4 linked regions of the Arabidopsis thaliana genome follow. Each later gene encodes a partner of the first gene's protein in a complex. Each region holds a gene or a part of one and is shown in the gene's direction. Other genes may lie near its edges. The genes, in order: AT1G18340, AT1G12400, AT1G55750 and XPB2.

Region 1 (5,087 bases):
AAAGGAGAACCAGGGGAGGTGAACAGAGAGCGGTGGGACAGGGAGACGGAGGTTGATTTGACGGCGTTTACGAACAAGAGCCATGGAAATAGAAGAGAGAGAGAGAGAGTGATGATGGTGATCGAAGAGTGATGGAAGTTGCAGTTTTTATATGGAGACTTGAGTGGGATTTAAGTGAGGAGCCTGGGAAGCTAATAAATCTTTCCATTAAATGTTAATCACTCTTTTTTGTTCTTTATCTTAATTATTATTTGTTGAGTTGTATCTAAAAATGGCAACTAGTGTGTCTACCGTTTATGTTTATCTTGCACGAGGTTAAATGCATGGGACTGCTATCTGTCCTACTTACCCGGAACCTGGCTATAGTGGCTTGTGTATATTGAGATAAATCTACGCAATAATGATTAGATTTATATACATTTAAAGAGTTTGTTTTAGTGATTTTGAATGGTAACTCAATTATCAAAGTTTGTTACAGCCTGTATCGTGATAATTACAAATTACAAAGGCGTTATAAAAGCGTTACTTTTAACGTTTTGCATTAATGATTAGATTTATATGCATTTAAAGAGTTTGTTTTAGTGATTTTGAATGGTAACTCAATTATCAAAGTTTGGTACAGCATGTACCGTGATATTACAAATTACAAAAGCGTTATAAAAACGTTATTTTTAACTTTTTGTACTACTTATTTATATAGTTTTGCATTCTAATTTACAGCTAAAACAACTTTAAAGCTTTGTGTTACCTATCAGAATCGTTATCTTCACATTCAAACACATAATCCATTGTTGTTGAAAAATAATAATACTTTCAAAACATTTATTTTAGTGATATTAATTTGACTTGATAGTAAGATTATTATTTACTCATAAAGACATTGGTGGAATTTAGTTATATAATTTTCATATACTAAACTATAGGAGATTTTAAAGTTTAATGTGAATTTGTGAGGTTCAATGTACCTCGGAGGCTAAGGACTTCTAATGAAAATGACCAAACAATAAGTTATATTTAGGCCATCATGCAAAAGCTTTCCAATGGCCATCGCCATTAATATTGCCAAGTTAATTATTAATATGATTTTAGTAAAAACTATGATTAGATCTTCAGATTCTTAGTGGACAGTCACACATGACCCTACGGATTACAAGTATTTAGCATGTCGATTGTCATGCGCGTATATATCCAAAGAATACTGAATAAAAATAATATGAAGTCAATCAAATGAATAACAATCAAATTATATGAAGTCAATCAAACCTTTATGAATGTGATTTGCTTCTTTTTCCAACCAAAAAACTTGTTTGTTTATTTGTTAGTTGTTACTCCCAAAAAAATGTAGTAAGCTTTTTATGCCCCATGTATTATATATCAAGACGATCTCCAAACATGACTATAGTTTCATAGGATGGATTGGATATCAGGACATGTGTGAATTTACTAATTTTTAGTATTGAAACAAACAACATTTCAACCAAAATTTTTTACCATTAAAATTAATATATCGACGTCCGATAGTATAAAGCTTGAATAAACTGAATTTCGTATCAGTAGCCAGTTTGAAAAATAAATTTGTTCCTTGAGATTTTGGTGTTCTTTTCCAAAAGAAAGAACAAAGAAAACAAAAGGCCCTTGTAAAAGGCGGTTTAGTTCATAAAGAAAACTGGGCCTATCTAAAAATTTGAACTAATGCCATATTTGGGCTTAGTAAGCCCGGCTTACGATACGACGTTTATAGTCGGATCTGATTCGGATCCAAACCCGTTTGATGGATCCGGCTCCTACCAAATCACTTCAGATTTCTGTATAAGCTAAAAATCCTTGAATTTTTCAGTAAGTTACTATAGCATCCGAGAATTTCATTCTTTAACTCTGGTTCGTAATCGGAAAACTCAAAGACCTGTTGTGAAGATATATTGGAGAAGAAAAAAAAAACGATTTCCCGGCACTGAAATAGCATTATCAGATCTCGTTCCCACCGGGAAGATTTCCCGGCACACTGAAATTCTGACTTGGAATCGTCTGTGAAACTATGCCTGCCATTGCTTCTAAGCAGTATTCAGGTTATTATTAAATTCCTCTTACTTCGAAACCCTCACATTCCTCAATCGTATAAGTATGTAGATTAGATATCCCAAAAACTGGAAACAAGTCTGATTGGCTCGTGATTGTTTTTTTGGTCGCAGACGATGTTAGTCTTCTAGTTTTGTTGCTTGATACGAATCCTCTTTTCTGGAGCACTACATCGATTACCTTCTCTCAGTTCCTTTCTCATGTAAGTGTCTCTAACGAATCTATTGTTTGTTTGTTCAATGCTTCGATTTTTATGCAGAAAGCTTGCTGCTGTTATGTGTAGGTGCTTGCGTTTCTTAATGCGGTTTTGGGGTTAAATCAGTTGAACCAAGTTGTAGTTATAGCTACTGGATACAGTTCTTGTGATTACATTTATGATTCGTCTTTGACATCAAATCATGGAAATTTCGAGAGCAATGGAACTGGAATGCCTGCAATTTTTGGTTCTTTGCTTAAGAAATTGGAAGAGTTTGTTACCAAAGATGAGGAGCTCAGCAAGGAGGAAGTGTCTGAGGATAGAATACCTTCTTGTCTCTTGTCAGGATCACTCTCCATGGCTCTTTGCTGTATCCTCTTGGAAAAGCATATAGCATCATGATAGGTTTCTTGAAGCTATATATAGTACAAACTATTAGGATTTGTTTGCATAAGTTCTGGCAGTGATCTTGAAGCTTAGCTTTCTCTCTAGACTGGGTTAAGTAAGGAACATTTTAGGTTGACATGTTTGTTCTCAGCTAAACCTATAGCATGTCTAAGGCCATCAATGTTATCTGGTAATATATGTATTTGATTTTCAGTCTTCACATTTTGTTGTTGACTTAATTTATGGCTCTAGATATACAGAGGGTTTTCCGTTCTGGACATCTTCATCCCCAGCCTCGGGTGAGTGTTCAGTAGGATATATGTATCAATCAGTTGTCTTGGATAAAACTTTTCATGTTGATTGCTTTGTATGAATCTTCAGCTTAAAGTATTAATGAGAATATAGACTCCTTTTTCTTATGTGTTATCTGTTCTATCGTATACCCCCAAAATACAGAACTGATTGTGCTATTGACGTTTATATGAAATACAGATTTTATGCTTGCAAGGTTCCCCAGATGGCCCGGAACAGTATGTTTCTTCCTTCATTTTTTTTCTACTTGCAAGATTTTGTCTTGTTTGTCTGGTCTCATTAAAAGGTTTTGTCATTCTTTCAGGTATGTTGCTGTTATGAACTCTATCTTCTCTGCCCAACGCTTGATGGTAATCTTCATTTTGATTGGTTCTTTGGGATTTCCGGTTCTTGATGTTCTCTAAATCCAGTATCATGTACCCAAATCACTTCATCAATTGGTTCTTTAGGTTCCCATTGATTCGTGTTACATAGGTGTACAGAACTCAGCATTTTTGCAGCAGGTAATATCATTTCTCCTTTATACATGATTCTAACTCGTCAAACTGGACCTATGCGTCAGCTGTTATCTCCTGGCTTATTTGTAGGCATCTTATATAACTGGTGGTGTACATCATACACCTAAACAGTTGGATGGGCTATTTCAATATCTAACGGTACGCAACTCAAGTCCAAACGCAAACCATTATGTGACTCGTCTCTCATTTAGCGAACTCAATACTCAATGGCTGCTAACTCTGGATTGTTTTGTTTTGCACAAAAGACAATCTTTGCAACCGATTTGCACTCCCGCGGTTTTGTACAACTTCCTAAACCCATAGGTGTAGATTTTCGCGCATCGTAAGTGATCAAGTCATTAACTCTTCAATTAATCGGGTCTTCCTCTGCATATATAACAGATGGTTTTAAGTACAAAATTTGCAGGTGCTTTTGCCACAAGAAGACAATAGATATGGGCTACATATGCTCAGTGTGTCTGTCCATTTTCTGTGAGCATCACAAGAAATGTTCAACCTGCGGGTAAGAGATTTGACCCGTCATGTTCTTTCTCAAGATAACAATCTATCATGTTGTTTGATACTAATATCGAAAAGCTTTTGGAAATTTGCAGGTCTGTATTTGGTCAGTCTAAACTTGATGATGCTTCATCTGCCTCTGATAAGAAGAGAAAAGCTCCTAGTACCTAAAATCATCTTTTGTGCCAGAGAGAAACTGCAAACTTTGTTTAATTGTGTCTTTGCGTTCATTTTCGATAATTTTTATACCATATATCAAAGTGAAATCAATTTTGCAAAGTTTTTGACTCTTTTTTTTTCCTTGAGATAGTACCCGTTGACTTGAGCAAACAAAACAAAAAGGCCTCTAATAGTCCATATAGAAAGTTGGGCTTCTCTATCGAATTTGAACGAATACGACATTTGGGCTGACGTCATTTATTATTGTCGGATCTATTTCGGGTCCAAACCCGTTTGATGGATCCGTCTCCTACCGAATCACTTCAGACGTGGAGAACGAACGAGACAGAGGGAAGAGAATCATCGGTGTGGCGAGCAATGGATTTGAAGAAACGGCGAAAGGTAAAAAAAATCTCGGAAGTAATGTGTATGTTTCATAGCACTCGAAATTTCGATCTTTGATTTTGTTCGAAATCGATAATTGAGAATTGTCGTGCAGATTTTGGAGAAGAAAAAGACGATTCATGACCTTATAAAAAGAGCTTCTTCCATTGACGATCCTCTTTCTCCGTTTGATTCTTTCCGCCGTTACCGAAGAAACGGTAAATTTGTTCTTCTGCTCAATTTTATTTTCGCCAGTTTCTCAAAAATATGGGATTTTGTTTATGCGAACTGATTATCATTGACAATGATTTGATGCATATAAACTTACTTTTACAATTCCTAATGTTACTACATTATGAAGTAGATGTAGTGTTAGTTGGAATTCGTGCTTTTTAACATGGATTTAATTATCTGTGAATCCCTTACTCATGCAGACTTTGGTAACCTATGATCTAGTGTGCTCTGATTAGTTGTTAGTTAGTTATGATAATGTTTGTGTGAATTTTGTTTTCAGTGCTTACTTGTTTCGTTTTAAGTTCACAGAAGAGTCTTGATGG
Region 2 (3,492 bases), 2.1 Mb from region 1:
CCATTTTTGTTTTTAATTTTTCATTTTTGATTTCCTTAAAACTATACAATAAGACAATGACCTAAAAAAAATTATACACGACTCAACAAAAATTACACGGCTCTCGTGCCCAAACCCAAACTGTTTACTATTTAATTGGGCTAAATCTATAGAGGCCCAATGGCTTATAAATCATAGATTCATAATACTGAAATATTAAACCGGCGTAAATGGTACGTACTTCGGGAAATAACGAATTCGATTTTAACCGGAAACTGAACCGGAAGCTGAGTCTCGTGCCTGCCTTCTCTAGGCTTCTTTGTTTCCGATCAGAATCTCGAGCTCAACTGTCAAAACTAGCCGACCACTAAGTCGTTGTCCTAACTTTCTCTCTGTTCCTCATCGAACATTATTGGGAGGAGAGAGAGAGAGAGAGAAGACCAAGAAACAACGAGGATAGATCCGAGGAAATTGTCGGAACCAAAAGGAGGAAGATGGGAGATATCTGGACATGGCTTATTTCCTTCTTCTTCCTCATCGCTCTTGTCGGAATCATCGTCTATCAGGTGCGATTCCCAATTTCTAGGATAAATAAACCCAAAGTTCTTAACTTTTCTATCGGAATTTGCCAATTTTTTCGCTTACGGTTATAATGATACCATATTTGTCCATTTTGATTCATTTGGAGCCTTTTTTTTGTTTCTGGGTAGTCTGTGATTTAGCTAGAATTAGGGTTTTATGTTCTTGTCACATGTTTGGAAGAAGTAAAGGTGTAATTTTTGGGAATGTTATCATCAAAGGAGTAAATTCAGGAACATATATAGTGCGTATTGGCTTCTCAAAACACTTTTATAGGTTCATAGTTAGTTCTTATGTTGGATGTTCATGTCAGGTCTGAGGATTTACCTCCTTAAGCACAGGTTGTTCTTTTATAAATGAGCTCCATTTCGGCATAATGAAGTGAACCCTTTAGTTTTGTTTGTGTAGACTCTAATGAGAGGAGTCACTGAGACTGATAAGCTAGCAAACGGAATCTTCCATGTATAAACAGCTTGGGAAGACATTTTCTAGGAAGCTAACTTCTCTTTTCTGAATTTGAATTCTTTCATTTGCAGCTTGTTTGCTTAGCGGATCTCGAGTTTGATTACATCAACCCTTACGACTCTGCGTCGAGAATAAACTCAGTGGTTTTACCGGAGTTCATTGTTCAAGGAGTTCTATGCGTATTCTACCTCCTAACAGGACACTGGTTCATGACACTCTTATGTCTCCCCTATCTATACTACAACTTCCATCTGTAAGTCCAACTAATCTCAATCTTTTGCTCCAATCAAATGTTGTGGTATTGATATCCTTTCGGTTTCTCCGTTGTTCAGTTACTCGAAGCGACAACACTTAGTAGATGTCACCGAGATCTTCAATTTGCTTAACTGGGAAAAGAAGAAACGGCTGTTCAAGCTTGCTTACATTGTCCTTAACCTCTTTCTCACTATCTTCTGGTAACGAGAAAGATATTTCGAATCCCATTATTGCTTAACCATAAGTAGATCAAGAGAGCTAAAACACTTTCTGTTTGCAACTTTTTTTCGTAGGATGATTTATTCGGCGCTGGATGATTACGAGGACTGACTAATGAAGAAGACATGGTCCATCTTCTTCGGTTTATTGACACTACGCTTAAAGATACAGCGACATGCTTGTGGACATGAAAAAAAGCAAGGAAAAGTGTTTGCTTTGTGATGTTTGTAAGATTAGTGGCAGGAAGATTTGTGTATTTATTTCTTTCTTAGAAACATGTTCAGATTAACTGTTTTTTTTATGTCTTGATCATTATTTGTACAAGCAATCAAGCTCGTAAACTACTGGTTACAGTAACAATGAAACTGAATAATTTCAAATATAAGAAGAAAAAAAGTTAATTCATGTGAACTTTGACTTTTAAAAGTGAGAAACCCTTTTGAGTGATGTAATAAACGATAACTTAAAAGATGATCCGAACCTTCTGTTTCAGTTTTGTAATTAGGTTATCTTATAAAGCTAATCCTTCTCTCCTTTACTGTGACAATAATCGTCGTTATCAAGGTGATTTCTTTCTCTGCCTCAAACATCGCTTACCCTCTTGATTGATTCCTCCAATCTTCTTCGTGTGGTTTCACAGGTGTGTGGTTGATCTCTAGACCAAATTGATCTGGTTTCATCCTATTTCTATTTGGTCTGTAATCGTTAAAGTCTTAAGATTTGGGAATCGAGTTTATGTTGTGGTGTTTAGGTAGCGAAACCCCAGTTATGTAATCGTTGCATCTAGTAATTTGGGGTCCTTGAATTGAAACAAAGGATTAATCTTTCATTCATCTATGTTCTGAGTTATCGAGGATGTTCTTGGGTCATCTTTTGATGAAAATTGAGCTCAGATTATTCGTGTTTTGTATTACAGGTTTTACTTATGGTTAATGCAATCAAAGGAGTGTTCGTCTCTTGGTACTTCTTACCGTTGTTACGATTCCTAAGCAAATCTTGATGAACACAATTGAATCATTCATTGTTTCTTTGTATCTTTTGTTTGTTTGCAGCGATATTCCGATGACACAATTCATAGTGAACATGAACAATTCGATGCCTCCGTCTCAGAAATTCATAATTCATGTACTTGATAGTACTCACTTGTTCGTGCAACCACATGTAGAGCAGATGATCCGCAGCGCCATTTCTGATTTTAGAGATCAAAACTCTTACGAGAAGCCCACTTCTTAGATCACATCACATCACACTTGCTTCTTGTTTTTCTTTCATTTGATTCAAATGAATAAAAACTTCATTGAGATCGTGAGATTGGTTGATATGGCTCATGCTTTAATAGAGTTAAAGTGAACTTTGTTGACAAATAATCTCTCTGTACCGGTTTAGTATCAGTCGGTTTTCTCTGGTTGTGTTGATTACTTTGTCACTCTTTTGTTGAATAAACACGTTTGTTTGGTTATTGTTCAATTACTTGTAGTAGATAATAAACAGATTAAAGAATTCGGAAGTTCCAAATTTCATTTTACTCATGAAGGATGAACCAAGTAAAATCAGAAACTAAGTTAACCACATACAATTTGCACATGTGAACCAATTCGGTTAAGCAAACCAATAAACCAATCTTCTTCAACAAATTACCCAATCTGTATGTAAGCTTTTCCACTTCTTCTAGTCTTAAAATAAAACAAACAAAAAATCTAGTGTTCGGCTCTAACACGCTCGACGACCATGGCGGTCTCGTTTAATACAACGCTTCACCAGCCTTCTCTGAGTCCGAGGTAATCTTCAATTTATCTAAATTTACATACTTTTGTCTCTGTTCACACATATTCACTTGCATCTGATTGCTTTGTTATGTCCTTTTTGCAGCTGTAGCATCAAGCTTTATTCTGGGTTAAAGCCTCAATCTGCAAGTTTGTTCCTTTTCCTCTTAATATGTCCGAAAGTTCATGTTTTTAATCGAATTGGTCTGCGAGATGTGAGGGAACTGATTTA
Region 3 (8,086 bases), about 15 Mb from region 1:
AGTTTCTTGACTTGAAGGTTTTGTCTCAAGATGTAAGTGTCTGTCTCATCACTTAGAGATATTACTTATAGATTGACTAGCCTTTTCTTTCTTAAATTAACTATTCTATGCAACATTGAATCAGTATGTTTGGTGAAACATGTGTGCTGAACTGATAAATTACCTGAATTCGGCAGAGTGGAGAACTTTACTCTATCTGGGCCAACGGTTCAACTGAGAATCAATCGCAAGTAACTGCGGTAACATCCCTTGGACGTATGTTGACAGAAAGCATTTACACCGACATAACGATCAATGCCTCTGATGGAAGCATTGGAGCTCACCGAGCAGTTCTCGCTGCCCGTTCACCTGTTTTCCGCAGCATGTTTTTACACGACCTGAAAGAGAAAGAACTATCAGAAATAAACGTACTCGACATGCCACTTGATGCTTGCCAAGCTTTTCTCAGTTATATCTACGGCAATATCCAAAACGAAGACTTTCTTATACACAGATTGGCACTCCTCCAAGCAGCTGAGAAATATGATATTGCTGATTTAAAAGAGGCGTGCCACTTGAGTCTTCTAGACGATATCGACACAAAGAATGTGCTTGAGAGGCTACAGAATGCTTATCTCTATCAATTACCTGAACTGAAGGCTAGCTGCATGAGATATCTTGTGAAGTTTGGCAAAATATTTGAGATCCGAGACGAGTTCAACATATTCATGCAATGCGCAGACAGAGATTTGATTTCTGAAATCTTCCACGAAGTCCTCAGTACCTGGAAAGGATTTTAGGGGAAATCAGAAAGGGTATGTGTGCTATAATTATACAAAATACATTTATGGACACTGATTTTTTGTGCAAAAGGATTTGTTGGTCTTTATGTACAGATTAAAGTATTGGGGGTTTTAACTCAAAACCCAAGTATTGTCCTTACAAGGATAAGACAGCAACATGTAAATTCATGATTTGATTGAATGTGAGCTTCTTAGCTTGAACTTTGAATTGTTAATCTATAACACTAATATAGTTTTCTGAACTTTTAAAGTAAAATCTACAATCATCTTTTAGCAATTTTACCCGATTCATGATACTAAAGTTATACCAAGCTAAAAAGCTAAACATACATATCCTCCCATGATCTGTAATCTTCCCTAGTTTATTGTAATGGTGACAGATGTTAAAACATATCATGCTACAAGCAAATTCAACAGGAATGGTTCAGTAGTTTCAGAGAATCAACCAACTAGTTTCTTAGCTAATATGAAAAATTCAAAACAGAGGAATATATACATTCTTCTACTCTAAGACTAGAATCTGTGCTACATACCAATGTGAGTACTACATGGTTTACAGAAACCAAATCTCCGGAAAAAAAAAAATCAGAAAACAACTCCCTGAAACTGAATCAATAGCTACATAAGCGATTTCAGATCGTCTTCAATGGAAACAAAATCAGACTCTAAGACCTCTGAGATCCGCCACAATGCCGGAAAACTAAGAGGAAATTACATAGAAACGAACTCGAATCAGGAAATCTCTGTGACTGCCAAATAATCAGAAACTAGAATGTCGCACGAATCTGATATATGGAATGGATGGTGTTCATGCGTAGGAAAAATCAAAGTGAAAAAGAAGAATCAGACAAGTAAACCGATATGGGTCTAATAGAATCGCAAAATGAAAACGACGAAAACAACAAAATGGAATTTCCTTGCAGAAGAAACTTACCTTCGACAGCTACCTATCACCACCACCATCGCCTTCTTCATCTTCGAATCTGAGATTCGCTTCATCTCTTCCTCCAATTTTGAAGAGAGGGAATATTGTTCTTCATAAGATGCTGGAAAATGAAGATTTTTTTTCAATTATTTTTTCCCGGCAAACGAACTACGTCAATAATGGGCCTTATTAGTGGCCCAAAATATTAAAGACGTCGTTTCATTCTGTAATAAATAGATCCCTAATCAAAAAAACCTCCCAAATTTCGAACTCAAAACTCTTTCTACGTCTACCTTCTTCTTCTTCAGCCGTCGACATCCTCTAGTAAGCCAGCTACTCTTTTCTTCTTCTGTACAGTAATCAGCTTCAATTCTATAGAGCTTTCAAAAAAAATCTATCGTTTGAAGCTTTATCTGGTTTGTGGTCTTTTTTTGTCGATGTCAATTTAGTTGATAAATGCACAAATATGTATCTTTTCTTCTTTTCTGTGTCTATCCTCATTATTGATTTATACTAGAGATTACAGAATTTGGTACATATTGATTATAGTCGTGAGACTATCATAATTTAAGGTGTTGTATGCTATTTTACAGGTTTGAATTTAGTCATTGAAGGTGTTAAAGTCCATGGCAGAGTCTATTCAATCCGCAACTGAAACCGAGCCTATGACGGTTAAGCCATTGAACTTTGAAGGCTCATGAAATGTCTGATGGGAAAGTTCAGTTTAGAGAAGTAGCCGTTCCACCGAACCGGTACTCTCCTCTCAAGAAAGCTTGGTCGGATATCTACACACCGGTCTTTGATCAGATGAAAATCGACATAAGGATGAATCTTACATTTTGATGCCCCTAATTAGTTTTGACTTTTTGTTCATTTTATCACATGACCAATCATAATGGGCCGTAGCAGTTTAATTCGGGTCAGTAAGTTGGGTCATGATTCGGGTCGGATACTTATTCCCGTTCTATAGTATAAACCTAGATTCCAATTTCGCTTGATTTCCGATGAATTGATCGACTGGAAAACAGAGAACCACCGTTTCTACAGTTGGATATGGCTGGTGGGCAAATAGAGAAGCTAGTCAAATACAAGAGCACTGTCAAGGATCCAGGAACTCCTGGATTTCTCAGAATTGTATGAAGATTACACTTTTCGCTCTTATTTGAGTTATATTATCTCTCAGCTTAACTGTTTCTTTTGCAAAATCGAAAAATTTGCAGAGAGAAGGGATGTTGCTCTTCGTCCCTAATGATCCCAAATCAGATTCTAAGCTCAAAGTACTTACTCAGAACATCAAAAGTATTGTTTGTACCTTTTCTCATTAACATTGCTTATTGGATAATAGATGTTGTGTTGATAAACGATTTCAGTTATGATGATAGCTGCATAGTCATTATCAAATTTCACTGTGTTTGTTCAATCTCTCAGGTCAAAAATATACCAAAGAAGGATCAAATAAACCTCCTTGGCTCAATCTCACCAACAAGCAGGTTTTTTCTGTTGACATTTTTTGATTAAAGCTATGATACATTATAGATATGTGAATTTTGAAGCTATATCTCTGTGTTCATTGAGGTTTCCTCATCCTTGATTGTAGGCAAAGAGTCATATCTTTGAGTTTGAAAATTATCCCGACATGCATGCTTGCCGTGATTTCATCAGTAACCTCCATGTCCCTTGGTTTGCTTTTATTGATTGGGAAAGTATTTCTCTTGTTTTCTTTCGTGGTGTTTCTGTAACCTCTTTTTTACTATAAACAGCTAAGGCCCTTGCTAAATGTGAATTGGAGCCTAATAAATCCGTTGTCTCGACATCTTCCGAGCAACTCAGTATTAAGGAATTGGAGCTGCGCTTCAAGCTTCTGAGAGAAAATAGGTATGTAATTGGAACATTAAGTTGCCTTTTTGGGTTCAAAGTTTCATTGGCTCATCAAGTTCCTTCTAATATGAGTAACATACGTGATTTAAAGTGAGCTGCAGAGATTGCATAAGCAATTTGTGGAAAGTAAAGTACTGACTGAAGATGAATTCTGGGCTACAAGAAAGGTTGGTTCTTTGTTTGATTTTTTTAAAAATTTTGTTCTCTTCAATGTCTTCATAGTTACCGACTTTATTCTGGCTGCAGAAATTACTTGGTAAAGATTCCATCAGAAAGTCAAAACAGCAGCTCGGGCTTAAGAGCATGATGGTTTCTGGCATCAAACCATCTACTGATGGGCGGGTATGGTATAGTTATCTCAACTCCTTTCTGGCAGTTAGTACAGCCAATTTAGTTAGCATTTTCATGTGCCTGCTTTTGTAGGAAAGAAACAATGCATCTATATGACCATACACTGATGTGTTCGACTGAATTACATTCATATGTTGATATATATCATATTATCATGTGACATCTCTGCTGGTTTACTAACCACTTTCTTCATTTTTCTTCTTTCAGACTAATAGAGTGACGTTTAACTTGACACCTGAGATAATTTTTCAGGTGAGCTCTTTGGTTCACTATGTTTGTCATTAGTGTAACTGCTCTATCAGTTTCTGAATCCCTCCAAGGTCGTCATCATAAGTTTTTTATATGTTATGGGGTTGAAGTTGCAGCTAGTGATATATTGGGTCAGAAATCCATTGTTAGGTGTTCAGGTTGCATCATGTGCTTGAACTTCTAGTCCAATCTGAAACTACAAATGAGGAATATAAACTTTTTTAACAGTCTTTCACCCACATTCTATCTTGTGCTTGCTTAGCCAGTAAATCCATTGCAAGTAACTTAAATGTTACTTTCGTAACTGCTACAGTCCTTTTCTTACTTATGTTTTCTTCATTACGCTTTCAGATTTTTGCTGAGAAGCCAGCTGTTCGGCAGGCATTCATCAATTATGTTCCGAGTAAGGTAACAAAGACCAGCTCACTGTGACCATCTTTGTTTATAAGGTTAACCCTCAAATACGACGAATCTTAACTGGCTTTGGTAGTTATTTTCCTACGCCAGATGACAGAAAAAGACTTCTGGACAAAATATTTTAGAGCAGAATATCTTTACAGCACCAAAAATACAGCAGTAGCTGCAGCAGAAGCTGCTGAGGACGAGGAACTCGCTGTCTTTCTGAAGCCTGATGAGATATTGGCTCGGGAAACTCGTCACAAGGTTAGGTTTCTTCTATGGTTTAATCATTTATCATATATTTTGTTTGAAAAGAAAATATTTGTGGCATATCCATCTGATTTAAATGTCATCTCTGTAGATTAGACGGGTTGATCCAACTCTTGACATGGAGGCTGACCAGGGAGACGACTACACTCATCTTATGGTAAGTCAACTACCACTGCATGTGAAAGGTTTGGATAATTTCCAAATTGCGCAACAATGGTTGTTGAAAGGAAAGTTCAATGCTCAGTTAACACTGTACAGATTCACACATAGAATAAGTCTTTCATCGAGGTTTGTAGTGTTGATGTTTACGTATTGTCTATCCCTAGTAGAAATAGTATGGGAAGAACTGGGATAATACTAACGGTGTTAAGAATCAAACCTGTACCAATGTGTGTCACTTGTTTCTTTCTTCTAGAATTCTCAGCGAACCTAATTTGAATTGTTAAATCAGGAATTTAGTTTCTTTCAAATAACTCTGAATTAGTGCTTTTGCTTTTTCACAAGACCACTACTTTAATATTAGCATGTGTGAGAAGGAGCTCAAAACTGATATCTAGAAAATATTAATCTTAACATTGACATTGTGCTCTTTGTATGCGGTTGAAACGTTATTTTCAATACACTTTATCGTACTTAATATAACTTTCCCATAACACAGGACCACGGGATCCAGCGTGATGGCACCATGGATGTTGTTGAACCACAAAATGATCAGTTTAAACGATCACTTTTGCAAGATCTTAATCGTCATGCTGCTGTTGTATTGGAAGGCAGAAGCATTGGTAAACACCTCTAAGAACCTCATTTGAATCTTTTTATCTGAATATTTTATAACAGTAGATAGTTCAGGAAGTGTAAACATTTATGTTGGCCTTTTGACTTTAGTTCTTGGTGGTAAATATACAATAATATTCCTGTAATTGGAAAGCAGATGTTGAGTCAGAAGATACAAGGATTGTTGCAGAGGCTCTCACACGGGTTAAACAAGGTATGATGTTTCATTCTGCTAAACAATGCCACGCTTTTTATTCATCTGACCTTGCTATCCATCTCTATTTTACACCCCTGTTAGTAAGCAAAGCTGATGGTGAAACCACCAAGGACGCTAATCAGGAGAGATTGGAAAGAATGTCCCGGGTAGCAGGAATGGAGGATCTTCAAGCACCACAAAATTTCCCATTGGCGCCGCTTTCTATCAAGGTTTGGCTTTCTGCCAATATAAGGTTTTCACAATTGATGATGGATGCTGCGTTAATCCGCTTACCCTTTCTTCTTTGGAATCAGGATCCTCGTGATTACTTTGAATCTCAACAAGGAAACGTCCTCAATGTACCCAGAGGAGCAAAGGGCTTGAAGAGAAATGTCCATGAAGCTTATGGATTACTAAAGGAATCCATTTTAGAGATTAGAGCTACAGGATTAAGTGATCCGTTGATTAAGCCTGAAGTTTCTTTCGAGGTGCTATTCTGTCACATAATAAAAAGTGTGCTGACAAAAGAAATCATTACTTATTGCTTTGTTGCCTGAGCTAAAAATTGCTAACCCTATTCAGGTTTTCAGTTCGTTAACCCGAACCATTGCAACTGCTAAAAATATTAATGGGAAGAACCCACGAGAGAGCTTTCTGGACAGATTACCAAAGTCCACTAAGGATGAAGTTCTACACGTAAGTCCGACATTTTCCAGTGTCCTAAGTGACAAGAAGCTCTATATGTACTAGTTAGTGAAGATTAGGTAGTAATGCATATGGATAAGAGGACTTTTCTTCTTTCATCTACAGCATTGGACATCAATACAAGAATTACTGAAACATTTTTGGTCATCTTATCCGATAACAACCACATATCTTCATACCAAGGTAATGTTATTGCAATTTTCAAATCTCCCAGTCCCAGAAATTGCTATATATATTGATTCCTAGGCTTTCACGGGAAATTTAATCTTATTATACACCAAGAGCAAGTTATTATACCAAATATTTTTCGTCGATTCTTGTGATGTTATATTATTATCATGCAGGTTGGTAAACTGAAGGATGCAATGTCCAATACATATTCAAAACTTGAGGTAAGCTTTGAAATTCTTCATCTTTCTGACAGAATAAGCAACTGATAGTAAATCTGCTATGTTAAAACAGTAGTTCCTAATCATACCAATGCGTTTACGAAAATGAAATTTTTGGGTAAATAAAATTGATGCAGTATTGTAGTCGAATCTTATTTGCATATATATGGTCAACTGTACGGTTTCCTTGATATTAAACTCCATGTAACTCAGGCAATGAAAGAGTCGGTGCAATCTGATCTCCGGCATCAGGTTTCTCTACTGGTTCGTCCAATGCAACAGGTTAGCTTCTTCCAATATCTACGGAAGAGTTTTATACTTTTATTACATCATGTCTCGGTTAAGTCTATATTTTCCACTCATATTGCATCTATATCCAGTTTCTACAGCCTTGCATTGTAATCCGGTTTGAAAATTGATCTTAATCGGTTTTCTCTGCTAGGCTCTTGACGCTGCGTTCCATCACTACGAAGTGGATCTGCAGAGAAGAACAGCTAAGAGCGGCGAAAGACCAAACGGCTACGTATAGAGGACAAAAAAACTAAAACTAAAAAGCTTTGCAAGATCTTTGAATTGTTTCATCAGCCTTGGTTGGTGTTTTTGAAAATCTTCATTTGTCCCTTTTTGTCCGACCATTGAGATACAAAAATGCGTTTATATTGTAGTAATATTTTCTTTTCTTTTTTTTGTTAATTAGGCGTTATATTGTTAACTGCGAGAGACAACAAAGAGATTTTCTCGATCTGAACATTTTTAAGTTTGCAATGTATTAGTAAATTCTCTACAGGCTTTGAGGACGTTACTACAGCTCCAAGAAAGCTCTCAGTGCCATAATTGTTTGGTTATTTGGTTACTGGTGAATATTTATAATAATGGGACAATAATAGAGAAAATGCTTCGATGGCGTAGTAGATTTCAATGTTTGAATCGCATCAAACAACAATCCAAATTAGAAATATATAAAATTCAACATAAAACTTTTTTTGACATAGCATTCATGGATAACTTTTGATTTGAATGATTAATTTACTCATTGTGAGGAAAAAAATAAAAACAGATAAAGTTACTCATTGCTTGTCATATTGACATGACATACAAAATTCAAGCTCCATAAGTAAAGCTATAAAGAAAAAGAAAAGGGGGACTCTCCACTTTTAGGTTTCATATA
Region 4 (7,379 bases), on another chromosome or scaffold:
TGTCTCTTTATGTGAGCATGTAGTTGGAACCCCGAGAGTAATACCATCAACTGTTTCTTGAGCAGACTCGGTATTAGCAGAGTCCACCGAAACCTCTCTTATATCAACACAAGTAGCCTCTTCACCACTAGCTGGTGTTTGAGGAATCCCTATAGGCACATCGAAAGGGGTAGGCAGTGGCGGTGGTATATAAGCATCAGGAGATGATGTCTCTAAGTTTGTGTCTACTACTACAACACCAGTAGAGATTGCAGAGGAAGTCCTGTTATGAGCGGAAGATAAAGGCACACGCTCTTCTGTTGCCCTTGGGTACTGCAAAATACAAGTCATAAAACAAGTTATATTCCCATATGAATCTCGAAGCCCGTTGGGGCTTTTAACTCATTTAGTGTCCTGAAGCACATCAAGATTGATTTATTTGCAGCCTATCAAAGCAAGGACACCCAAAAAAAACGAGGAAGTGGGAGAAGTATCAGACTAACGTAGTAGTACGCAGGTCCATTATCTACATCAGCTCTTCGTGAAGAAGAACAACAACAGCAACCTCCCATCTCTTCTTCTCTTTTTTTTTTTTTCTGTTTTACAAAAACTACAAAACCCGAAGACTCTTCATCTATGCTAACCTACAAGATATGTGAAGAAACAAATTACATTCTGAGATCAGTAGGAGAATATTTATCATCTATATGCAAGAAACTCAAACAAGCTTTATCGTTTTCGATATCAGTTTGAGCTGTCTACTAAAGTCTGATCAGACTCATCATGCTAGTAGCAACAATAAAACAATTCAGCTACTAACAGTTCAAATTCACTCTCAATAATCAAAGATACAATAAACATCAACCATTAAAATCGAGACAACAGTGTTGCGACTACAAGCCTATGTGAATCTCCTACAATTCTCATTCTCTTTAGCACCATCTACACACAATTGCAATAAATTCAAATCAGTTTTACACTAAACCCCAAAAACTTAAAACAATTCTACTCAGAATTTAACTCCAACACAAACAATGAATCCACAAAAAGAACCAAAGCTCCATTAAGAGCAAGCTAATCCGTAAAACCCTAAACCGAAACTTATAAAAGCAACAATAAACATCAGAATTCTCAGAATCTAGCATAAACACATAGGAGAAATACGGATCAAAACAGTAAAAAAAAAACCCACAGAATTTCACACAAAAATCAAGCTCAAAACCTAAAGAAAAGCGATCACTAGCAAGAACAAACACCAAAGAAGAACCGATCATCTTCTCGAGATTGAATCAGAGAAGAGGAATTAAAAATCTCAAAATCATAGAGAGAATTTTACTTTTTGTTCTTGGGGGAAGCTTTTTTTGTTTTGTCTTCGTCTTTCTCTGCTTCTGTGCTTTTTGCGGTGCTGTGTTTATCGTGCGCTCTATCAAAATGACTTTCCTAAGAAATTACAAAGACTCTTTTTGGGCTCAATATTATATTTACTTACCTGATTTATTAAATTCATTAATACAATTATTAATTAGCTGATTAATTATTTTATTTTTTCCGTTACAATGTATTTTTCAAAATTTCAATAATGAAATTACATAACTGAAAATCGGCTGAAAAGTGTCGACCAAAAAATTATAAATTGGGAAGTACCATTTTCAGTAAAATTATTACTATTTTTTTTCCGGCAAATAATTTATCGATGTTTAAAAAAGAAACATGGGCTCAAACTTAAGAATAAAGCCCATTTAAAGAATCCTATTAAAAGCCCATATTTGATCTGTTACTGCAGCCTTTATATATGAATCGTGTTCTTACGTTTCTGCTTAACAATTTCCTTCCTCCGCTTCAAACGAGTCACCGACTCGACACAGGAATCCGAATTCGCCGGAGACGCAGCTTGCTTCGTTGAATAGCTTACAACGGGAAATTACCACGAAGACGGTTGTATATTCCCTCCGTCGTACAATTTAGGTTATGTGCGAATTCACAAATTGAAAATACAAGAGAAACAATCCCTAAAATCGATTTGATTAAGAGGAGCGAAAAGAAGAAAATCAATATGGGAAACGGTAATGGTCTCGAATCTCGATCGTACTGAGTTTTGATTCGTTTATTGAATTATCCGGTGAAAAGAGTATGCTAATACTGGGGAAAATGTTGATGTTTAGATGAAAGAAAACGACCTACAAAGAAGATGAAGTACGGTGGGAAGGTTCGTGTTGATTCTTCTCCACATGACTTTTTTTATTTATTAGGCTCTTCACTTCTAGTTAGTGTAATTGTACTGTAAAAATCTCAGGATGATCAAAAGATGAAGAACATACAAAACGTTGAAGATTACTATGATGATGCTGATGAGGATTCTCGTGATGGTAATATTGATTACTCTCGTATAATTAACATAGATACATTGGGAACAAAATTGAAATAGAATTTATAATGGTTTTTAAAGGTGAAGGAGAGGAGAAGAGGAGAGATTTTACTGATTTGGAGTTGAAGCCGGATCATGGAAATAGGCCTTTGTGGGCTTGTGCTGATGGAAAGATTTTCTTGGAGACATTTTCTCCTCTCTATAAACAAGCTTATGACTTTCTTATCGCCATTGCTGAACCCGTTTGCAGGTTTGATTTTGATTTGATTATTATATCAATGTACAAGTTATGATTTTTGTTGTTGATTTTCATTCATTTGTTACTATTTCAGGCCTGAGTCAATGCACGAGTATAATTTAACCCCACACTCGTTGTATGCTGCTGTTTCCGTTGGTCTTGAGACAGAAACTATCATCTCTGTTTTGAATAAGCTATCTAAGACCAAGCTACCCGGGGAGATCATTGATTTCATCCATGCTTCTACTGCTAATTATGGGAAAGTGAAGTTGGTATTGAAGAAAAATCGGTATTTTATTGAATCACCATTCCCGGAGGTAAGTTCACCAGACTGATCCTCTTTCTCTAGTTATGCGTATGGGATTTTTGTGTAGTTTCTCTGTTGGTTTTGCTCACTCGTTAAATATAAACAATCTTAGGTGTTGAAAAGGCTTCTCAGTGATGATGTCATAAATCGAGCAAGATTTACTTCTGAGGTATGTTGAACTCCTCAATTTAGTGCTTTATGTTTACTATTACTGGATGGAAATACATACCATGATCTGTTGTTCTCAACAGTTTTTGCATCTTTTGATACCAATGCGGCAGAGAGATCTATCCTGATTCTCTTGGGGCTATTGGTTTCGTGTTTAAATTCTAATTTTTTCTTGAACTATTTAATAGATAAATAAACTCATTATCCTTCTTTTTAAACTCCTTGGTTCATTGAATGTGAAATTGATATCTCTTATACCATTGTATTCTCCACAGTATGTTGAACCAACTTATTAACTTTTTTTCTAGCCATATTATGGTGGTGATGGATTTACGATCGGCAAAACAAGTGGTGAACTTGAAGCAGGACCTGGGGAGTTGTTGAATGAAGCAGAATTGGCAGCAGCAGCAGAAGAGAAAGAAACTCACTCATTTGAGATAGACCCTGCACTGGTAAATTTCCCCTAATGCTTCTGAAATAAATCGTGTTGATGACTTTGTTAATGTTATATGATCTTTACTCAACTCACGGTGTCATGTTCTTCTGCTCTTGGTGTGTAGGTGGAGAATGTTAAGCAGCGTTGCTTGCCAAATGCCTTGAATTACCCTATGTTAGAGGAATATGACTTCAGGAACGATAATGTGAGAAATAATTATCACACTTCAGGTCAATTTTTACTTATCAGATGATATGAACTGGATGTTCGTGATTGTTAATAACTTGATGGTGTCTGTCAGGTTAATCCTGATCTTGACATGGAACTGAAGCCCCATGCACAACCAAGGCCATACCAGGAAAAAAGTTTGAGCAAAATGTTTGGAAACGGTAATACGATATAACTGTCTACGCCCGCATTTATTTTCCTTAGTAATTTGTTTACAGCGACTGCTAAATTGATTGTGAACTTCTCTTAGATATATAGATTTGTACTTTCATACACTGTTCTGATCTAGCTTCATTGTGAACTTCTAATAGATAAGTATCTTTGTTATTTCTCCTGAAAGCTTGTGACTGATCTAGACTCCTGATTCTGCAGGACGAGCAAGATCTGGGATTATAGTGTTACCTTGTGGAGCTGGTAAATCTCTAGTTGGTGTTTCTGCAGCGGCTCGTATAAAGAAGAGTTGTCTTTGTTTGGCAACGAATGCTGTCTCGGTGGATCAATGGGCCTACCAATTTAAGTTGTGGTCTACTATAAAAGATGACCAAATATGCCGTTTCACTTCTGATAGTAAAGAACGATTCCGTGGAAATGCTGGTGTTGTTGTGACAACCTATAATATGATTGCCTTTGGTGGTAAACGATCTGAAGAAGCAGAGAAGATTATAGAAGAAATGAGAAACAGAGAGTGGGGGTTGCTGCTTATGGACGAGGTAATCAAATTGTTCTTAGTGTGATGTGCCTTTGAATTGAAGTTAGTGTTTACTGGTAGTTTACATTGCGGAAAAGTTATATGTGGTTCATTTAGAATGTGTATCCACTATCCAGTGTTACTGGGATCTACAAATAACAAGTTTCCATCCAATGCGTGACATTTTAAGAGTTATGTTTTTCATAGGTGCATGTGGTTCCAGCCCATATGTTTAGGAAAGTTATCAGTATTACAAAATCTCACTGCAAGCTAGGACTTACAGGTAAATGAAAAATTCATTTTCACATACCTTTTTATTTGTTATACTTCAGTTGCAGAAGCTAAGTCTCTTTTTTGGTCTTTTGTTCAGCCACCCTTGTGAGAGAAGACGAAAAAATTACAGATTTAAACTTCCTCATTGGCCCGAAACTCTATGAAGCCAATTGGCTAGATTTAGTTAAAGGAGGCTTTATTGCAAATGTTCAGTGTGCTGAAGTATGGTGTCCCATGACCAAAGAGTTTTTTGCAGAATATCTGAAGAAAGAGAACTCGAAAAAAAAACAGGTTAATGCGTCTAAGCTTTCTCCGCATTGATCTTTGTTTTCCTTGGATATTTTTACTGGATAAAGATCTTAAAATAATTGACTATCTTATTTTATGTTTGTTTGTTTTGATACACTAGAGTCCATGAATTTGATGTAGTCTAGAACCTTATAATATGGTAAACATCAATATTATAGGTTATTTGTGTATGTCTTATAATTTGGCAAATGCTTCTAATAGATCACCCTGTAATAGAAACTAGGAAACCCCTTCAATTGTTCTGACATTTACATATCTTGTCTTCTGGTGTCTGCAGGCGCTTTATGTCATGAACCCTAACAAGTTCAGAGCCTGTGAATTTTTGATACGTTTCCATGAACAACAACGTGGGGATAAAATCATCGTCTTTGCAGACAATCTTTTTGCACTTACAGAGTATGCAATGAAACTCCGGAAACCGATGATTTACGGTGCAACCAGGTTCGTTAAAGAACCACCTATTGAGAGCACAATTTTGTATGTTTCACTCAGTTTCCAATCTGATAGTTCTCTTTGTTCAATATGTAGCCATATCGAACGAACAAAAATTCTCGAGGCGTTTAAAACCAGTAAAACCGTGAACACTGTATTCCTGTCAAAGGTATTAGCGTTGTTTCCTTTCCATTGACCTGGGAATATATAGAGACTTGTTCATTCCATTTTCATCAAGTAACTTAGTTTCGGTTTCTTTTATTGACTACAGGTTGGTGATAACTCCATAGATATCCCTGAAGCGAATGTGATCATCCAGATTTCGTCACATGCTGGTTCTAGACGTCAAGAGGCTCAACGTTTGGGTCGTATCCTTAGGGCTAAGGTGTGATTTTAAGTATTATAACTCATCACATTTTGCGTCTCTCCTAGAGTTCCTCTTGGTTGTTGGATCCAACACGTTTTATTTCTCCGTGATCAAAAACAGGGTAAACTTGAAGATAGAATGGCTGGTGGAAAAGAAGAGTACAATGCATTCTTCTACTCGCTTGTTTCTACCGATACACAGGTAAATCACTTTATTGTTGAAGTAGCCATAAAAACTGAAATTCATCAGACCAAATCAGAACCAAAATATAATTCAGTTCTAGTCCGCACTCGTTTCCAAAACACAGAAAAAATTTTGCTTTCCAGAACCCGTGACTTGAATTCCTGAACCGATAAAAATCGAATGACTGATTGAATGGAGAATGACTGATGTAAGGATCGTGAATGTTGAAATGCAGGAAATGTATTATTCAACGAAAAGACAGCAGTTTTTGATCGACCAAGGTTATAGCTTCAAGGTAATAACAAGCCTCCCACCTCCGGACGCGGGTTCAAGCTTGGGCTACCACAGTCAAGAAGAACAGTTGTCTCTTCTCGGAAAGGTGTTGAATGCTGGAGACGATATGGTTGGTTTAGAACAACTTGAAGAAGACACAGATGGAAAGGCTCTAAAGACGCGACGAAGCATGGGATCGATGAGTGCAATGTCCGGTGCAAATGGAAGGGTCTACATGGAATACAACTCAGGTCGTCAAAAATCTGGTAACCAATCCAAGAAACCTAAAGACCCAACCAAACGACACAATATCTTCAAAAAACGTTATGTTTGAGACAAGAGAACTCATATTCGGCTATATGTTTTGAGTTGTAACTTTGGTGCAAATTTGTTTCAGGCACAAAATCAAGAAAACCTAAACGAAGACACCCTACCTTAAAAGACCGTTAACATTTGATATTTGTTTTATTATGTGAATTGATTAATTGATATTAGAAAGTTCTTTCCTTTTTTTTGATATTTGTTTTCTAGCATATCATGATATCGCCTCGAGAATACCTTTGAAAATTATTTTGTTATTGTCAACTGTCATGATATCTCGCTGAACCAACATATAAAACACGATTATAATTTGGTTGACAGATCCTGAACAACAGTAAAACGTACTTAGTTTTCGAGGTTAAAAAATAATTACTTGTCATGATTTCGAATTAAAAATAATAATGGGCTCAATTTGAGATTAAAGAAAGCCCACGCTAAAAGAGGCCTACTAAATGCCCATATTGGATCCGTTATTGTAGCCTTTCTATATATGAATCGAGTTTGCATTTCTGCTATAACGTTCTCTGCATTCACATGATCACATCAACTCAGTAACGGACTCGACATACCCGGACCTGGACCCGACACCGAATCCGAATCATAATGCGACGGAGACGCAGCTCGCTTCTCGGTCTAGCTTACAACGGAAAATATTTACGGTACCGTTTGTTTTCCCTCTGTCGTAGAATTTCTGTCTTCGACACCGGATTGATATAATCGATTGAAAAGACAAGAGATAATGTCTAAAATTGATTCGATGAAGAGAAAAAGATCAATATGGGGAACGATAAAAGTCTCGATCTTACTGATTT

Evidence for each region.
Region 2: AT1G18340 (region 1) and AT1G12400 share a complex: the UniProt entries of both Arabidopsis thaliana proteins name them as parts of the 7-subunit TFIIH core complex.
Region 3: AT1G18340 (region 1) and AT1G55750 share a complex: the UniProt entries of both Arabidopsis thaliana proteins name them as parts of the 7-subunit TFIIH core complex.
Region 4: AT1G18340 (region 1) and XPB2 share a complex: the UniProt entries of both Arabidopsis thaliana proteins name them as parts of the 7-subunit TFIIH core complex.

What each region holds. Positions count from the first base shown.
Region 1 is NC_003070.9:6,310,683-6,315,769, reverse strand, and holds AT1G18340 (basal transcription factor complex subunit-like protein), read left to right. Parts: upstream 1-1,838; 5' UTR 1,839-2,035; coding exon 2,036-2,066; intron 2,067-2,189; coding exon 2,190-2,278; intron 2,279-2,359; coding exon 2,360-2,642; intron 2,643-2,911; coding exon 2,912-2,958; intron 2,959-3,151; coding exon 3,152-3,189; intron 3,190-3,275; coding exon 3,276-3,321; intron 3,322-3,420; coding exon 3,421-3,474; intron 3,475-3,558; coding exon 3,559-3,627; intron 3,628-3,734; coding exon 3,735-3,811; intron 3,812-3,895; coding exon 3,896-3,991; intron 3,992-4,082; coding exon 4,083-4,158; 3' UTR 4,159-4,327; downstream 4,328-5,087. Other genes in the region: MKK7 (MAP kinase kinase 7), read right to left, coding at 1-84; AT1G18335 (Acyl-CoA N-acyltransferases (NAT) superfamily protein), read left to right, coding at 4,444-4,548, 4,646-4,748. UniProt on the Arabidopsis thaliana protein: Component of the general transcription and DNA repair factor IIH (TFIIH) core complex, which is involved in general and transcription-coupled nucleotide excision repair (NER) of damaged DNA and, when complexed to CAK, in RNA transcription by RNA polymerase II.
Region 2 is NC_003070.9:4,219,874-4,223,365, forward strand, and holds AT1G12400 (Nucleotide excision repair, TFIIH, subunit TTDA), read left to right. Parts: upstream 1-1,953; 5' UTR 1,954-2,137; intron 2,138-2,413; 5' UTR 2,414-2,422; coding exon of another isoform or gene 2,423-2,457; 5' UTR 2,458-2,496; coding exon 2,497-2,730; 3' UTR 2,731-2,992; downstream 2,993-3,492. Other genes in the region: AT1G12390 (Cornichon family protein), read left to right, coding at 474-545, 1,095-1,276, 1,356-1,478, 1,572-1,608; CLP2 (CLP protease proteolytic subunit 2), read left to right, coding at 3,226-3,275, 3,367-3,410. UniProt on the Arabidopsis thaliana protein: Component of the general transcription and DNA repair factor IIH (TFIIH) core complex, which is involved in general and transcription-coupled nucleotide excision repair (NER) of damaged DNA and, when complexed to CAK, in RNA transcription by RNA polymerase II.
Region 3 is NC_003070.9:20,839,810-20,847,895, reverse strand, and holds AT1G55750 (BSD domain (BTF2-like transcription factors, Synapse-associated proteins and DOS2-like proteins)), read left to right. Parts: upstream 1-1,996; 5' UTR 1,997-2,031; intron 2,032-2,300; 5' UTR 2,301-2,760; coding exon 2,761-2,841; intron 2,842-2,927; coding exon 2,928-3,006; intron 3,007-3,135; coding exon 3,136-3,197; intron 3,198-3,304; coding exon 3,305-3,368; intron 3,369-3,467; coding exon 3,468-3,582; intron 3,583-3,676; coding exon 3,677-3,752; intron 3,753-3,831; coding exon 3,832-3,927; intron 3,928-4,143; coding exon 4,144-4,188; intron 4,189-4,536; coding exon 4,537-4,593; intron 4,594-4,692; coding exon 4,693-4,848; intron 4,849-4,945; coding exon 4,946-5,011; intron 5,012-5,512; coding exon 5,513-5,636; intron 5,637-5,785; coding exon 5,786-5,842; intron 5,843-5,926; coding exon 5,927-6,054; intron 6,055-6,138; coding exon 6,139-6,312; intron 6,313-6,406; coding exon 6,407-6,520; coding exon of another isoform or gene 6,521-6,574; exon of another isoform or gene 6,575-6,634; coding exon 6,635-6,712; coding exon of another isoform or gene 6,713-6,775; exon of another isoform or gene 6,776-6,873; and 7 more. Other genes in the region: AT1G55760 (BTB/POZ domain-containing protein), read left to right, coding at 1-32, 177-779; AT1G55755 (uncharacterized protein), read right to left, coding at 320-377, 628-763, 1,730-1,781. UniProt on the Arabidopsis thaliana protein: Component of the general transcription and DNA repair factor IIH (TFIIH) core complex, which is involved in general and transcription-coupled nucleotide excision repair (NER) of damaged DNA and, when complexed to CAK, in RNA transcription by RNA polymerase II.
Region 4 is NC_003076.8:16,542,542-16,549,920, forward strand, and holds XPB2 (homolog of Xeroderma pigmentosum complementation group B 2), read left to right. Parts: upstream 1-1,798; 5' UTR 1,799-2,032; coding exon 2,033-2,042; intron 2,043-2,141; coding exon 2,142-2,185; intron 2,186-2,272; coding exon 2,273-2,345; intron 2,346-2,425; coding exon 2,426-2,594; intron 2,595-2,676; coding exon 2,677-2,899; intron 2,900-3,001; coding exon 3,002-3,058; intron 3,059-3,365; coding exon 3,366-3,509; intron 3,510-3,617; coding exon 3,618-3,698; intron 3,699-3,794; coding exon 3,795-3,882; intron 3,883-4,093; coding exon 4,094-4,431; intron 4,432-4,616; coding exon 4,617-4,692; intron 4,693-4,779; coding exon 4,780-4,973; intron 4,974-5,268; coding exon 5,269-5,432; intron 5,433-5,519; coding exon 5,520-5,592; intron 5,593-5,694; coding exon 5,695-5,808; intron 5,809-5,910; coding exon 5,911-5,991; intron 5,992-6,208; coding exon 6,209-6,580; 3' UTR 6,581-6,643; coding exon of another isoform or gene 6,644-6,696; 3' UTR 6,697-6,786; downstream 6,787-7,379. Other genes in the region: AT5G41350 (RING/U-box superfamily protein), read right to left, coding at 1-312, 483-623, 845-847. UniProt on the Arabidopsis thaliana protein: ATP-dependent 3'-5' DNA helicase/translocase; binds dsDNA rather than ssDNA, unzipping it in a translocase rather than classical helicase activity. Component of the general transcription and DNA repair factor IIH (TFIIH) core complex.